2 linked regions of the Lepisosteus oculatus genome follow. The protein of the gene in region 2 purifies or fractionates together with the protein of the main gene of each other region. This does not show direct contact. Links are inferred from orthologs where the notes say so. Each region holds a gene or a part of one and is shown on either strand. Other genes may lie near its edges.

Region 1 (6,993 bases), on a different chromosome or scaffold from region 2:
ACAGGATACAGGACACACACTCCCTGTCAGGACACCTGTCCATCACATGAGACACACACACACCCCCAGTCAGGACGCCAGTCCTTCACAGGGTAAACAAACGCAGAGAGGGACGATTCAGACACACCAGAAAGAAAACCCATATAAGGGACAGGCCACTGTGTGCTGCGCGTTTTCCCTGGATACACACCAGGCCAGGTGAGAGGCAATGAAATCACACTGACGGTGATGAGGCTCGTTCGCACGTCGCCGGAGATGCACTCTGTCCACACGGCTGACCGGGAAGAGCCCAAAGAAACCAGCACTGTACCGTACGGACCACCGGGCCATTCTGGTCAGAAGGATGACAAAACAAGTGGAGAAACCCTGCTGGCTCCCAGTCAGACTTCAACCAACAGCCCTGTCAGTCCTGAGCAGCTCAGACTGCTGCGCACCTGGAGTCTGACTGACTGCACTGTCACACCTGGAGCAGATCAGACTGCTGCACACTGGGAGTCTGACTGACTGCACTGTCACACCTGGAGCAGATCAGACTGCTGCACACTGGGAGTCTGACTGACTGCACTGTCACACCTGGAGCAGATCAGACTGCTGCACACTGGGAGTCTGACTGACTGCACTGTCACGCCTGGAGCAGATCAGACTGCTGCACACCTGGAGTCTGACTGACTGCACTGTCACACCTGGAGCAGATCAGACTGCTGCAGACTGGGAGTCTGACTGACTGCACTGTCACACCTGGAGCGGATCAGACTGCTGCGCACCTGGAGTCTGACTGACAACACTGTCACACCTGGAGCGGATCAGACTGCTGCGCACCTGGAGTCTGACTGACAGCACTGTCACACCTGGAGCGGATCAGACTGCTGCGCACTGGGAGTCTGTCTGACAGCACTGTCATATCTGGAGCGGATCAGACTGCTGCACACTGGGAGTCTGACAGCACTGTCACACCTGGAGCGGATCAGACTGCTGCGCACTGGGAGTCTGACTGACAGCACTGTCACACCTGGAGCGGATCAGACTGCTGCGCACCGGGAGTCTGACTGACTGCACTGTCACACCTGGAGCGGATCAGACTGCTGCGCACCGGGAGTCTGACTGACTGCACTGTCACACCTGGAGCGGATCAGACTGCTGTGCACCGGGAGTCTGACTGACAGCACTGTCACACCTGGAGCGGATCAGACTGCTGCACACTGGGAGTCTGACTGACTGCACTGTCACACCTGGAGCAGATCAGACTGCTGCGCACCTGGAGTCTGACTGACTGCACTGTCACACCTGGATCAGATCAGACTGCTGCACACTGGGAGTCTGACTGACTGCACTGTCACACCTGGAGCGGATCAGACTGCTGCGCACCTGGAGTCTGACTGACAGCACTGTCACACCTGGAGCGGATCAGACTGCTGCGCACTGGGAGTCTGACTGACAGCACTGTCACACCTGGAGTGGACCGGACCGGACCGCCATGTAGTGGGAGACTCTCTCCTCCTGGCTCGTGCAGGCCACCTTCAGCACGTCCGTGGCGGCGGCGGCGGCAGCAGCAGCGGAAGGGAAGTCCCGAGCCCCGCCAGCGGTTCGTGTCCCACCCGGGAACCCCTGCGCGCCCTCCCGGCGTCCCCCTGAACCCGACCATCACAAAGCCGGGCGAGGCCCCGAAAACCCCGTCCGTTACCCCCCTCGGTTCAGTCACTACAGCAGCCCTGACAAAGCTGGGCCCCCCTCCCACACACACACACAATGTCGACACACCTTCGCAAGGCGAGTTTGTTTTCTCTCTGCCGAGGGGTGTTCGCGGAAGACAGCCGGGCAACCACGCAACACGAAACAACCTGACAACTTTGCCACTAAGGACATGTATACACACCCCCCCCCCATCAACCCCTCGTCGACGCGGTGACATTGGTCTTGAACGAAGGGCCCAGTTAGGACTTTTTTTGTTTGTTTTCCACTCCTTCCCACCCACGGCACACTTTCGCTTCTCGAATCGCAACGCCGACCGACCGACCGACCTCCTCCCCACCCCAACCCCATATTTCTCGCGTCCCTCGTCTCCCTGAGACAAAAAATCCTCCACAGACACCCCCCCCGCCAGATTAATTAAAACACTAGGAGAAGCGGGGAGCGGGGGACTCCTCTCGCTTTCCTACCCCTCCGCCGACACCAGCCCTGCAGGTCTACCGCCTGAGCGCGGCCAACCTGGACGGAAACACGACCTGCGCTCGCAAAGACAATAATCATAATCATCCAGAAATAAACCGACGCGCGTCTTTGCCAGGGCCCAGGGTGGTGGTGGTGGTAGTGGTGGTGGGTCTTCTTACCTCTTCCCACTTGATGAACTTGCTCCCTTTCCTCAGAGTTTCGTGCACCGAGACCGGCTTGAGCTGCAGAGCGTGAACTCCCGGTCGCGCCCCGGCCATCTCGCCGCGCCGCGGGCGGTGTGGGGGTGCCGCTCGGTCTCCCCGCCGCTACAGCTCCGCGTCGGGGTCAGGGAAGGGACGGGGACCCGGTTCGGGGCTGCTGCTGCTCCGCTTTCTCTCTCTCCTCCGTTTTGCTTTTGCGTTTCTTTCCGCGTTCCTTTCCCGGAGCTCCGGACGAGCGCCGAACCGCCACCCCGACGCGCCTGGAAAACTTTCTGCTTCCTCTCCGTCTCCGGCTCTCCTCAACTCCGTTTTTTTTTTTTCAGTGTTTTTCCTCCTTCTTTGAAACGCTTCGCCTTCTGTCGCTCATGTTTCTGGAGAGAGAGAGAGAGTGAGTGAGTGTGGACAGGCGGAGGGAGGGAGGGAGCTTCCTTCGCCTCTGCTGAAGAAGTTGTTCAATTATCGCTGTCAATCGCAGTTCAAGCCTAAGATGTTGGGTATTTTTTTTTCCTCTCCCTCCCTCCCCTCAGTCCTCCGGAGGCGGGTCTTTCTCTCGAGTACTTAAATAATAAACGCTGGGAAGATTAAAAGTCGGGCACGTCTTAAAGGAGCAGCGGGGAATTGTCATCGGCAACCCGCACAGACCCCCCCATCTCCCTCTCCCCCTTACACGGGATTACTCGGCGCTCCCAGCCTGGAATGTCGTCCGGCTCCCCGGACAAGCCGTCTTAACCCCTCGGGCGCCGGGCTGCCATTTTTAACCGGCGAGTGGCCGTGAGTTATATCTAGTTCCTGCTTTCGTCGCCGCGCTGGTAGGAGCACGCCCTAAAAACTCCCAATTCCCCCCCCCAAAAAATAAAAATGAATTCCCTCTTCCCCTGTATGAGGCACACAAGATCCCCCCCTCCTTATTCTCTCTCCCCGCGCAAGCTCGGGCAGAAAAACGGAACTCTGTGGTGTCCGTGTCTCCTCCTCTTTGTAGCTCGGTGTTGTGCCCGTCCCGCCTGCCTTTCACCTTGTGGACGTGGTTGTTGTCCGGTCTCGCCGGTACTGCCCCCCTGGCGATTTGTTCTCCTGGACACTCTGTGGAGATAAAAAAAAACACAAGTAAACCATTTCACTGTGGGCATTTTACAAGCCTGGCAGATGGACATTAATAGTGTCTTGCCGTATACTAGCAATAATCTCTGGACTGGGACCCTGAACTGGGGTCTCCTGGGTGTCGGGGGTCGTCCCAGACTGGGACCTTGAACTGGGGTCTCTGGGCTGTAGGGGCTCATCTTGGACTGGGACCCCGAACTGGGGTCTCTGGGCTGTAGGGGCTCATCTTGGACTGGGACCCTGAACCGGGGTCTCTGGGCTGTAGGGGCTCATCTTGGACTGGGACCCTGAACTGGGGTCTCTGGGCTGTAGGGGCTCATCTTGGACTGGGACCATGAACTGGGGTCTCTGGGCCGTAGGGGCTCGTCCTGGACTTTCTTTACTGGATAAGGAAACACCATATTTAGTTAAGTCCAACACAGTCCAGATGGGGAGTTTCAAGGAGCATTTTTGTTATAATTTGACAGCTCAGTTTAAACAGAGGCTGATGGACTTTTTTTTTACCAGGGTTTGTGTCAAATGAAGTGAGTGAGAGAAGGGAAGAGCAGATTCATACAGCCTGCTTCAGCATGTACACCCTGCCACTGCAGTCACTCTCCTGCTGGTAGTGACCCTCACACTCTGTAACTGTGTAGAAACCTTGTAGCGCATCTCTCACACACAGTCATACAGGATCACAGCCCATCACCTCTCTCACACGCAGTCATACAGGACCACGGAACATCACCTCTCTCACACACAGTCATACAGGATCACGGAACATCACCTCTCTCACACGCAGTCATACAGGATCACAGCCCATCACCTCTCTCACACGCAGTCATACAGGACCACAGCCCATCACCTCTCTCACACGCAGTCATACAGGATCACGGAACATCACCTCTCTCACACACAGTCATACAGGATCACAGAACATCACCTCTCTCTCACACAGTCATACAGGATCACAGCCCATCACCTCTCTCACACGCAGTCATACAGGATCACAGAACATCACCTCTCTCACACGCAGTCATACAGGATCACAGCCATCACCTCTCTCACACGCAGTCATACAGGATCACAGAACATCACCTCTCTCACACGCAGTCATACAGGATCACAGCCATCACCTCTCTCACACGCAGTCATACAGGATCACAGCCCATCACCTCTCTCACACGCAGTCATACAGGATCACGGAACATCACCTCTCTCACACGCAGTCATACAGGACCACAGCCCATCACCTCTCTCACACGCAGTCATACAGGATCACAGAACATCACCTCTCTCACACGCAGTCATACAGGACCACAGCCCATCACCTCTCTCACACGCAGTCATACAGGATCACGGAACATCACCTCTCTCACACACAGTCATACAGGATCACAGAACATCACCTCTCTCTCACACAGTCATACAGGATCACAGCCCATCACCTCTCTCACACGCAGTCATACAGGATCACAGAACATCACCTCTCTCACATGCAGTCATACAGGATCACAGCCATCACCTCTCTCACACGCAGTCATACAGGATCACAGCCCATCACCTCTCTCACACGCAGTCATACAGGATCACAGCCCATCACCTCTCTCACACGCAGTCATACAGGATCACAGCCCATCACCTCTCTCACACGCAGTCATACAGGATCACAGCCCATCACCTCTCTCACACGCAGTCATACAGGATCACGGAACATCACCTCTCTCACACGCAGTCATACAGGATCACAGAACATCACCTCTCTCACACGCAGTCATACAGGATCACAGAACATCACCTCTCTCACACGCAGTCATACAGGATCACAGCCATCACCTCTCTCACACGCAGTCATACAGGATCACGGAACATCACCTCTCTCACACGCAGTCATACAGGATCACAGCCCATCACCTCTCTCACACGCAGTCATACAGGATCACGGAACATCACCTCTCTCACACGCAGTCATACAGGATCACAGAACATCACCTCTCTCACACGCAGTCATACAGGATCACAGCCATCACCTCTCTCACACGCAGTCATACAGGATCACGGAACATCACCTCTCTCACACGCAGTCATACAGGATCACGGAACATCACCTCTCTCACACACAGTCATACAGGATCACAGAACATCACCTCTCTCTCACACAGTCATACAGGATCACAGCCCATCACCTCTCTCACACGCAGTCATACAGGATCACAGCCCATCACCTCTCTCACACGCAGTCATACAGGATCACAGCCCATCACCTCTCTCACACGCAGTCATACAGGATCACGGAACATCACCTCTCTCACACGCAGTCATACAGGATCACGGAACATCACCTCTCTCACACGCAGTCATACAGGATCACAGCCCATCACCTCTCTCACACGCAGTCATACAGGATCACAGAACATCACCTCTCTCACACGCAGTCATACAGGATCACGGAACATCACCTCTCTCACACGCAGTCATACAGGATCACAGCCATCACCTCTCTCACACGCAGTCATACAGGATCACGGAACATCACCTCTCTCACACACAGTCATACAGGATCACGGAACATCACCTCTCTCACACGCAGTCATACAGGATCACAGCCATCACCTCTCTCTCTCCCTCACACACACACAGTGATATTGTACATTGCCTCCCACACACACAGCTCTCCCCTATCTCCGTGTGTCCCAGAGCAGAGTGGTTTACAGCTGTCCCTGACTGCCTGGGTAAAGGTTAGAGAGCAGGAGGCAGAGGCTGGAAGATCGAACTCTGAACTCCAGCCAGCAGCCAGGGAACAGAGAGAGGGGGGGGGAGAGGAGAAAGGGGGAGAGGAGGGAGGACAGAGGGAAGAGAAGGAGAAAGAGAGACTCTCACTAGGACACCCAGAGTGCAGAGGAGGGGCAGACAGAGACGAGGATCCTCTCCTGATTGCAGTCTGTCCAGGAAGCCTGAGACAGTGGGAGAGTGTTCTTGTCAGAGAGCAGCAGGGGGGTGGGGCTGGCGCACAAAGACACATTGTGACCCGCACTGGGCTCAGACACGCTGGCACACACTGCTACACACACACACACAGCTACAATCACACTGCTTCACACACACTGGCACACTACTACACACACATTGACACAAACACTGCTACAATCACACTGGCACACTACTACTACACACACTGCCAAAATCACACTGCTTCACACACAGCTAAAATCACACTGCTACAATCACACTGGCACACTACTACTACACACACTGCCAAAATCACACTGCTTCACACACACTGGCACACTACTACACACACATTGACACAAACACTGCTACAATCACACTGGCACACTACCACTACACACACTGCCAAAATCACACTGCTTCACACACAGCTAAAATCACACTGCTTCACACACACTGGCACACTACTACACACACATTGACACAAACACTGCTACAATCACACTGGCACACTACCACTACACACACTGCCAAAATCACACTGCTTCACACACAGCTAAAATCACACTGCTTCACACACACTGGCACACTACTACAC
Region 2 (7,517 bases):
TACTCATCCGTTTCTCTGTCCACCACCAGCAGCCGCGTCTCGCTCTCCAGGGCCTTGATTCTCTGCACCACCTGCAGCCGAAGGAGGACAGCGGGGGCTGAGGCTGCTGCGAGGCCCACTCCCACCGGGGTTTTACATGATTAAATAATTAAATATCATTAAATTAGGTACAAGGAAAAGTCCTCCTTCCGCTCTGCAGACAAATATGGAAAGCTCACCAAAAATACAGCATAAGGAGCAGTGGACCATTTTCGCTCCGAGCTGAAAATGTGTCAACATTGCTGACAAAGCATTCTTATGTCGGTATCTCCTTATGGGACAAAATGTGGAATATTTAGGTTTAGAAGTTGGCCAGAATCTGATACAACTATAAAAACAACAATAATTCCTGCTTTGGTTCTGACAGAACATCCAAATTGCACATTCCAGCAAAATAAAAAAGACCAAGGGTCTGTTTTGGATTTGTTTACTACAGAGGAGGCAGTTTACACCCTGACAAAATAAGGATCTGAGAGTAAAACGAACTTTGAAACTGATTAAAGTAAACCAGATGACATGTATGGAAAGCCACAAAGAAATGAAGTCTACTGTAGGTATGCCACAGTCTGCCACAAGGAGCAGTAACATTCTTGATTGAACCCACCAATTGAATTTATTGAGTCTCCACTTGGAAGCTGTTAATCCCCAGTTTAATAGGCCCTTATCTCCCCTCACAAGGGTGAATGACTCCAAAAACACAAAGCAGAGAGAGGAAAGAATGTAAATACTCCCATGGAGTGACTCTATTCCCTAGGAGAGTGCCAGCTCTTGTCTTTGATTCATGGGGTTTGGTGAGGACTTTAATATGAAGCATCTAATAGCTCATTTAACAAAACACCCTTCTTTAATGTGCAAAGACTTTTTGGGATTTCAAAGTTCAGACTATCCTTGTCATTACTGACAATAAAAAAAAAATGTCTCACCTGCTAAAGAAAACAGAATTATTATTTTTTTGTGTTTCTTAATGAGCTGGTCAGTTCACTAAGATTCCTGTAGACTCACCTTGAGTGCCAAGATGGCTAATACAGCTTTCTAACAATACTAACAGACAAATAAATGTAATGTATTCACCTATAATGTAATCATTGCATACTAATTTTTCACCTAATTTGTCAGACTAAGGGCTCATTAAGTTATAATTATTTTCTGCATTTTTATTTTGTGATTAAACAGAGACAGGAGAAAATCTCTTCCCTGCAAACCGAGTCCCAGAGCAAAAGAGGGAGCAAAGCAAGACTGATTGGAAACTAAAGTTTTTTCGTTGGACAAAAAAAGCACAGCACAAGCACTCCAATTGATAAATGAGAATGGCACCAGTTGTTAAACTAAAATACTACTAAAAATGCTGAACGATATACAACAACGTATATGACCTTTCAGTAATCCATACAGGTGTTAAAAAAATGTAACACTTTTTCTATGTGGCAAAACAAAACATTTTGACAATGAAGCTACAAAGTATTTGAGGAGTTACGTCCTGAGAACTACTACATGAACGATTATTTTATGTGCTGAACTGTCCCTTCCTTGGAGACAATTTCTCCCTGCACACAATGGTTCTGTGCTGGTACGGCCAACTGCACGGAGCAAACAAACACCCGTTTGTTGTGGCATCAGTCATTTGTCTTCACAATAACTTCCTTGGCTATGCGTAGAAATTGAAAGAATAAAGCATTTCGTTTGTTACGAGGAAACCGAACTCAAATAATATAAACAATGTCATATGATGACATTTATTTAAGAACCGAAAGCTTCCACTGAATTCTCTAGGACCTAGGGCATTCCCAATAAACCAAGCAGAAAGGTTTCAATTTACAGTAACTTCGGGTGTTCAAGCGCTTTTTAAAGGGCACACCAAGCTAAATGCAGTGCCAATAAAACCCAGAGTTCGGTTAAAAAGGTTGGTCAGATCTAACCTGCCCTCAGCTTTCCAGTTCATACCACCGGGCAGGTCTTGATACGCGCACGGTACTGCAATTTCCAACGTTATTTGGGCAAAGAAATGACGGCATTAGCGCAAAAAAGATGGGGTCTGGGCACAGTTTCTGGGAACATTGGCTGCTTCATCACCGTCACAAAATACGACCGAAGAAAGGTCTAACCAAAGGCTGTGGGGGCAACGGGATGTTCAGATAGTGTTTCGGCACTTACTTGGTGATGCGTTTCTTTTTCCACGTTGTCACCGTTCACCTCCACCACCCGGTCCCCTGCTCGGAGCCCAGCAGCCTCCGCGGGTGAGCCCAGCTCCACTTTGCGTATGTACTGGCCACTTTTCCCTTTCTCGCCGTGCAAATGAAAACCATACCCATTCTCCCCTTTCGTCATGAAACAAAGCCGCGGTTTCAGCTCCTTGGTCATGTTTGTCACCAGACCAATTTCTGCGTTTTCACTTTTTGTTATCCACCTGAAGACTACTGTCGTCCTCTCCCAGTGCACGTCCGCCCGACTGCTCGCTCGACGCAGTCCCTTTAAACTTGCTGCCGATAATTTTCCAAAGACCCGAAATGTGAGGATTATCGCTAGGGATTTTCAAAACATTGACCACAAAAACGAAAAACGCACAGGATGAAAGTTCCTTAGGTTAAAAGTATATCCACAGGCGTTTAACATTCTTTAATAACAAACCACAAGTGTGAGGCGTAATCCCAGTGGTGGTCGTCTAGAGAACAGCAACAGGTAACCGGTTTCCAGTTTGTTTTGCGTGTGTAAGTTTTTTTTCCCTTCGCTATTTTACGGAATCGATGGATTTCGCGGCATAACGGACTCCGTTTTTTTAAGTTTTCCCCCTTGTTGGGCTGCTGTCATTTTGAACTACATGAGGCTCCAGGCCATGAACAGAAACTAGCTCAAGCGCTCCTTCCGTGCTCCATCCGCAACACTCAGCTGGGGAATTAGGATTCAATTACACGACAAGGTTTAAGTAAATAGATGTGTCGCTTAGATCTGTTACAGCTCAACAGCACCACCGCCCTACCAAATGGCTGCTTTAAAAAAAAAATAAAACAAGATCTCGACATCAGTTCCACTCTCTGACCACTCTGTGAACTAATGACAGTCCTTTCAAAGATGTTATCCTAACCAAAGGCTTAAGACTTAACTGAAAATCTTTTGTTGTGGGTACTTTTCTTACCTTTGGATTCTTTTTTTTTACAGATGGATTTATTCTACATCAGTTTTTATATGTAAAGTCTCTGTTTTTTAAAGGTTTTAAAATACGTAAAAAGTTCGGACCATGCGTAAAAGCGCGAGCACTGAAATTCTTTTTCGCGATCACGTTCACTATTTTATTAATGTGCTGGTGCATTTCTCCAGTGACGTGACAGAAAGAACCATAATTTCTGTATTTTGATCAGGAAAAGCGCTAAAACACAAATAAGTTCAGCTGAGATCGCTTATCTACAATAAGCTACTGTATTTAGTGTAATATTCCAGTAAACTACTATTGCATTAAAATAACCCAAGAATTCACATAAAACAAACAGGAGCTATATATTTTCATGAGGGTAGCTGCATCAGCATGCGTAGGCTGCAAAGGAACAAGTAATAGGTTTATTCCATGCTGAAAAGAGAAGAAAGAATACACAGCGTTTCGGCCGTGGAGCCCCTCCTGAAGAAGGCTCCACGGCCGAAACGTTGTGTTTTTTCTTCTCTTTTCAGCATGGAATAAAAGGAGTCATATTTGTAAAACTATTTCATGGGATATTGTGTTATAGTTACTGTATCTGTACAGAACGTGTATTCTGAGGTAATGCGATTTTGAGTGCGTTTTTCTACCGAAAAATGCCATTTTGTTTTACGAATAATAGCAAGTCGTTTATTGTTATTAATTGAAGCAATTAATTTCGCTATGTGCCACTTTCTCTGGGCTGTTATTGCACCCGGGTCTCGGGGAAACGTGCGGCAAGTGTCAGCGACTCGTGCCTGAGGAGATGACTGGGCTGTCGGGAGAGCAGCTTCCTGAGCCGGGGAGTAACAGACAACGCTCAAGACATCCTAGAAAAATAAAGGTGCGGCTCTTTTCGTTTAGGTAAACTAGTAACTGACTCAGTAACTGACTTTTTTTTGCATACCAGACAAGTTAAAAGATTCTACTAGGTCGCTACAAAACTCAGAAATCTACTTGGTATGAAATGATCTCAATTTGCCCGTTGAACATTTTTAAATGAGATTGGTAAATATTATTCGAAATAAAACCTTTTTTATTTATTGTAAACTATAGACATGTAGCACATTATTGTCTGCAATGCCGATTTACAGAAGGAATCGACTAGAAGTTTTCAAGTGTCAACATCTATTACGTTTTGCTACTTTTCTCGTGTGCACTTTCGTTGGTGTACTGCCACATGCTGGAAAACACGCGTAACCGCTCTCGTAAAATGTCGACGTTACGGTAGGTCGGCGCACATGTACTTTTTTATCAGTTTCTTTTTATCTTTAGTTCAGCGGATACTAGGCCACAGGCGTTAAAATAAAACAATTAACCATAACAGTAACACAACAGATTTAAGATGATATAGGGTTACTACACGTGAAAAAATCAAACGCACAGAAAACATTTGGGGAACAAGAATAAGAGTCAATTTCAGGACAGGTTAAGCTATTTGAAAATCCCTCCCGGACATTGATTTAAGGAACTAAAAGGAAGACATGATAACCCTCCATACTATAACACGTTGTATACTGTACATACACTACAGACCTTAATGTACTTCTGCATCTAGACATCAATTACATGTAACCTACTTTATATACCATAATTCTGTGCAAATTAAATGAAACTGCTCTTTAATTGGCAGAACAATTGTAGGGATAGTCAAAATACCGTCTTCTGTGGCTCTACCATTCCACGCGCTCAATTTAAAAATATTACGGTGGTTTCGGAACTAAAATAAATGGGCAGTTAACGCTTAAATTGCTTTCAGAAGGCTTACCCGTTTTCACCCGAAGCAGTTTTTAATGAAGATGGTCATGTAAAAAGTTAAGCTAACATATAAAATCATAATGTGATGTTCACACCATGTCGAATAATTATAAACATATTTTAAAACGTACAAAACCAGCGGAAGTACCAATAATTCTGAGGTTCAAGGAGTCTGGAGATATACTAATGAGAATCAAATCTTACCATAAGGCAAAGCTGGGGATGTTTAACAAAGCTCACAAAACTATTTAACATATTTTAATTTTGCTTTAAAAAAATGTCTACCACAACCCCGTTTCTTAAATCAGATTATTTGCATGACCTTTTAAACGTCCATGTGAAAGCATGAGGTTTAAATGAATGTAGAAGTGTTACCATGTGCCATTACAAATATATGCAGCACGACAAACAATATAAAAGTAATACATCAATAATAAATGAATACATTAGCAGATAGTCAACTTACATAATTAACAAAGGCTTAACAACTGAGGTAATCAATTTAATCTTGGCAAATGTGGTGCAGAAATTAGCAAGGTAGGTGTTTTTTATTGTAATAGCAAGTTATCCTTATTTACTACAAAAACTGCCTGGTAATAAAATACCACAGACACATTTTCAAAGATAAGCCAGGAGCAATCAGTGAAGTACAGGTTTCTCTCCAATGTTTATTTCGTAGAAAGAATGATTGAAAAAATATTTACAGAGGAACAGAACATTGGACTGTAAATGACTGTTACTGTTTATTTTCTAAGGAAAGGATGTTTTATCAAACTTCCCTACAAATAGTTTTTTTTATCAGACACTTCAATTATAAGTGGAAAAAACAAACAATTTCCAAAAGAACAAGGAGAATCATTTGGATACAACGTTTTCTTCAAGCCAAAACAAAGAGTTCTGAGTTATAATGTGACACATAAGCTTCGTTTCCAATGACATCTGGCTTTTTCCCCACTACAGGTTTTTCGATAAAGATAAAGTCTTGTGGCAGCACTTGAAACACTGAACGAGAACAAACCATTACAGATAACTGTGATGATTAAAAACCTCAATGTCCCCTGGACAATTGGTATGAAAACCCGGGTCCAAGTGAGTGTGATTTTCGGCACATTCTCGGAGGAAACAAAACAAAAGACACCTGTAAACACCTCCAGTCCTGCAGCCCAACCCAGTTGAAACTGGCAATACTCCTTTATAAGAGTGCTACAGGAGTGGACGAGAGGGAAGACGTGGGTATTTGACCTCCCTGAGACTCTGTTAACCCCTCTGTTTCAGTTAGTGTAAGCCTCAGGTGTCTGGGTCAGACACCTCTGTGAAAGAAATGCCTTTGTTTCCTCCCACACCACATATCAGTGTGATACTGGGATCCAGTTTTATGTTTAACTGCTGCTGCGGTTTCTATGCATTGACTTTTATTCCTCATACATCTTGGTCCCTATAATACTCAACTAAACTAACATTCATCCATCTGCTAATCAATAGGTCAATATGGGATAAGTCACAGGGGAGCCGGAGCCTATCCTACAAGCAATGGGCACAAGGCGGGATGCTCCTCGGATGGGACGTGCAGAAGCAAACACACACACACACACACACGCCAGGGCCAGTCCTCCCAGAAGCTAATTCACACACCAGTACGTCTTAGGCAGGAAACCAGAGCACCCAGAGGCAACCCACGCGGACATGGGGAGAACGTGCAAGCTCCACACAGACAGCACCCCGGGGATTGAACCCAGGGCCCCCGGGGGCCGCGCACAGCAGAGCTCACCACTGCGCCACACGGGCCACCCTCCTGAATTGGCAATCAAAACAAAATCCACGTCCCCGATGAAAAGAAACAATTGGCTAATGAGGAAAACGTTTGGAAAACTGGCACGAGTATCCCTTGTCTTGAGATAAAAGGCAAATGTACGCTAGTAGACTTTAGGAGTAGGGGTCTTTGGAAGGGGGCTCATGGCTCCTCTTCTTGTTGTAGCTGTTGGCATAGGGGCAGCTGTCCTTATTAAGGCAGTCTGAGCACAGCGGGTTTATTGGCAGGCACACCTGCTGGCCAAAACCAACTAACAGCCAGTTGATTTCACTCCAGAGGTCCCTGAAATAGATTACTAGGATTAGTAAATGTCGGCAGAAGCACTGCTTCCAGACAACTAGAGAAGGTGGCAGAGACTTATCGCATTATTTAATTTGTGGCGTACCCAAAAAACGAAACTTTGGCAGATTTTTTTATTTTAGTGATCAAAAAGTAGTGAACAAAACTGTCAACCCCACAGAACACTTCTGTCCCTTTACAGATAAGGGACAGTAACTAGGCCTCCAAGCTGTGGCTGGCAAGCTGTGCAGTTACCTTGGCAACCAGTCTTCCAATGCGACTCTGGTCTCCTCGGGAGTCTTTGTGCTTTTCTTCACCCATCCCAGCCTGTTGGCGATCCGATGGACATGTGTATCCACTCCTGGAAGACACAGATGCCTTTGCAGGTCGGGAACAGAGAAGCGCGAGTTTGCTTTAAGGGCCCACGATAAAGGTGGACCGGAAAACATGAGTCATGGGACATACAGG

What was found. The genes of interacting proteins can lie anywhere in the genome.
Region 1: the proteins of Na(+)/H(+) exchange regulatory cofactor NHE-RF2 (region 2) and plcb3 purify together in Homo sapiens (co-immunoprecipitation; 3 studies listed by BioGRID and IntAct, with this or other methods). This does not show direct contact. The link is inferred for Lepisosteus oculatus from reciprocal best matches to the Homo sapiens genes NHERF2 and PLCB3.

The regions. Positions count from the first base shown.
Region 1 is NC_090713.1:21,868,035-21,875,027, forward strand, and holds the start of plcb3 (1-phosphatidylinositol 4,5-bisphosphate phosphodiesterase beta-3), read right to left. Parts: upstream 3,020-6,993; 5' UTR 2,427-3,019; coding exon 2,328-2,426; intron 1-2,327. UniProt on the Homo sapiens protein: Catalyzes the production of the second messenger molecules diacylglycerol (DAG) and inositol 1,4,5-trisphosphate (IP3).
Region 2 is NC_090714.1:2,507,401-2,514,917, forward strand, and holds the start of Na(+)/H(+) exchange regulatory cofactor NHE-RF2, read right to left. Parts: upstream 3,017-7,517; 5' UTR 2,398-3,016; coding exon 2,191-2,397; intron 72-2,190; coding exon 1-71. Other genes in the region: nthl1 (endonuclease III-like protein 1), read right to left, coding at 6,884-7,052, 7,305-7,410.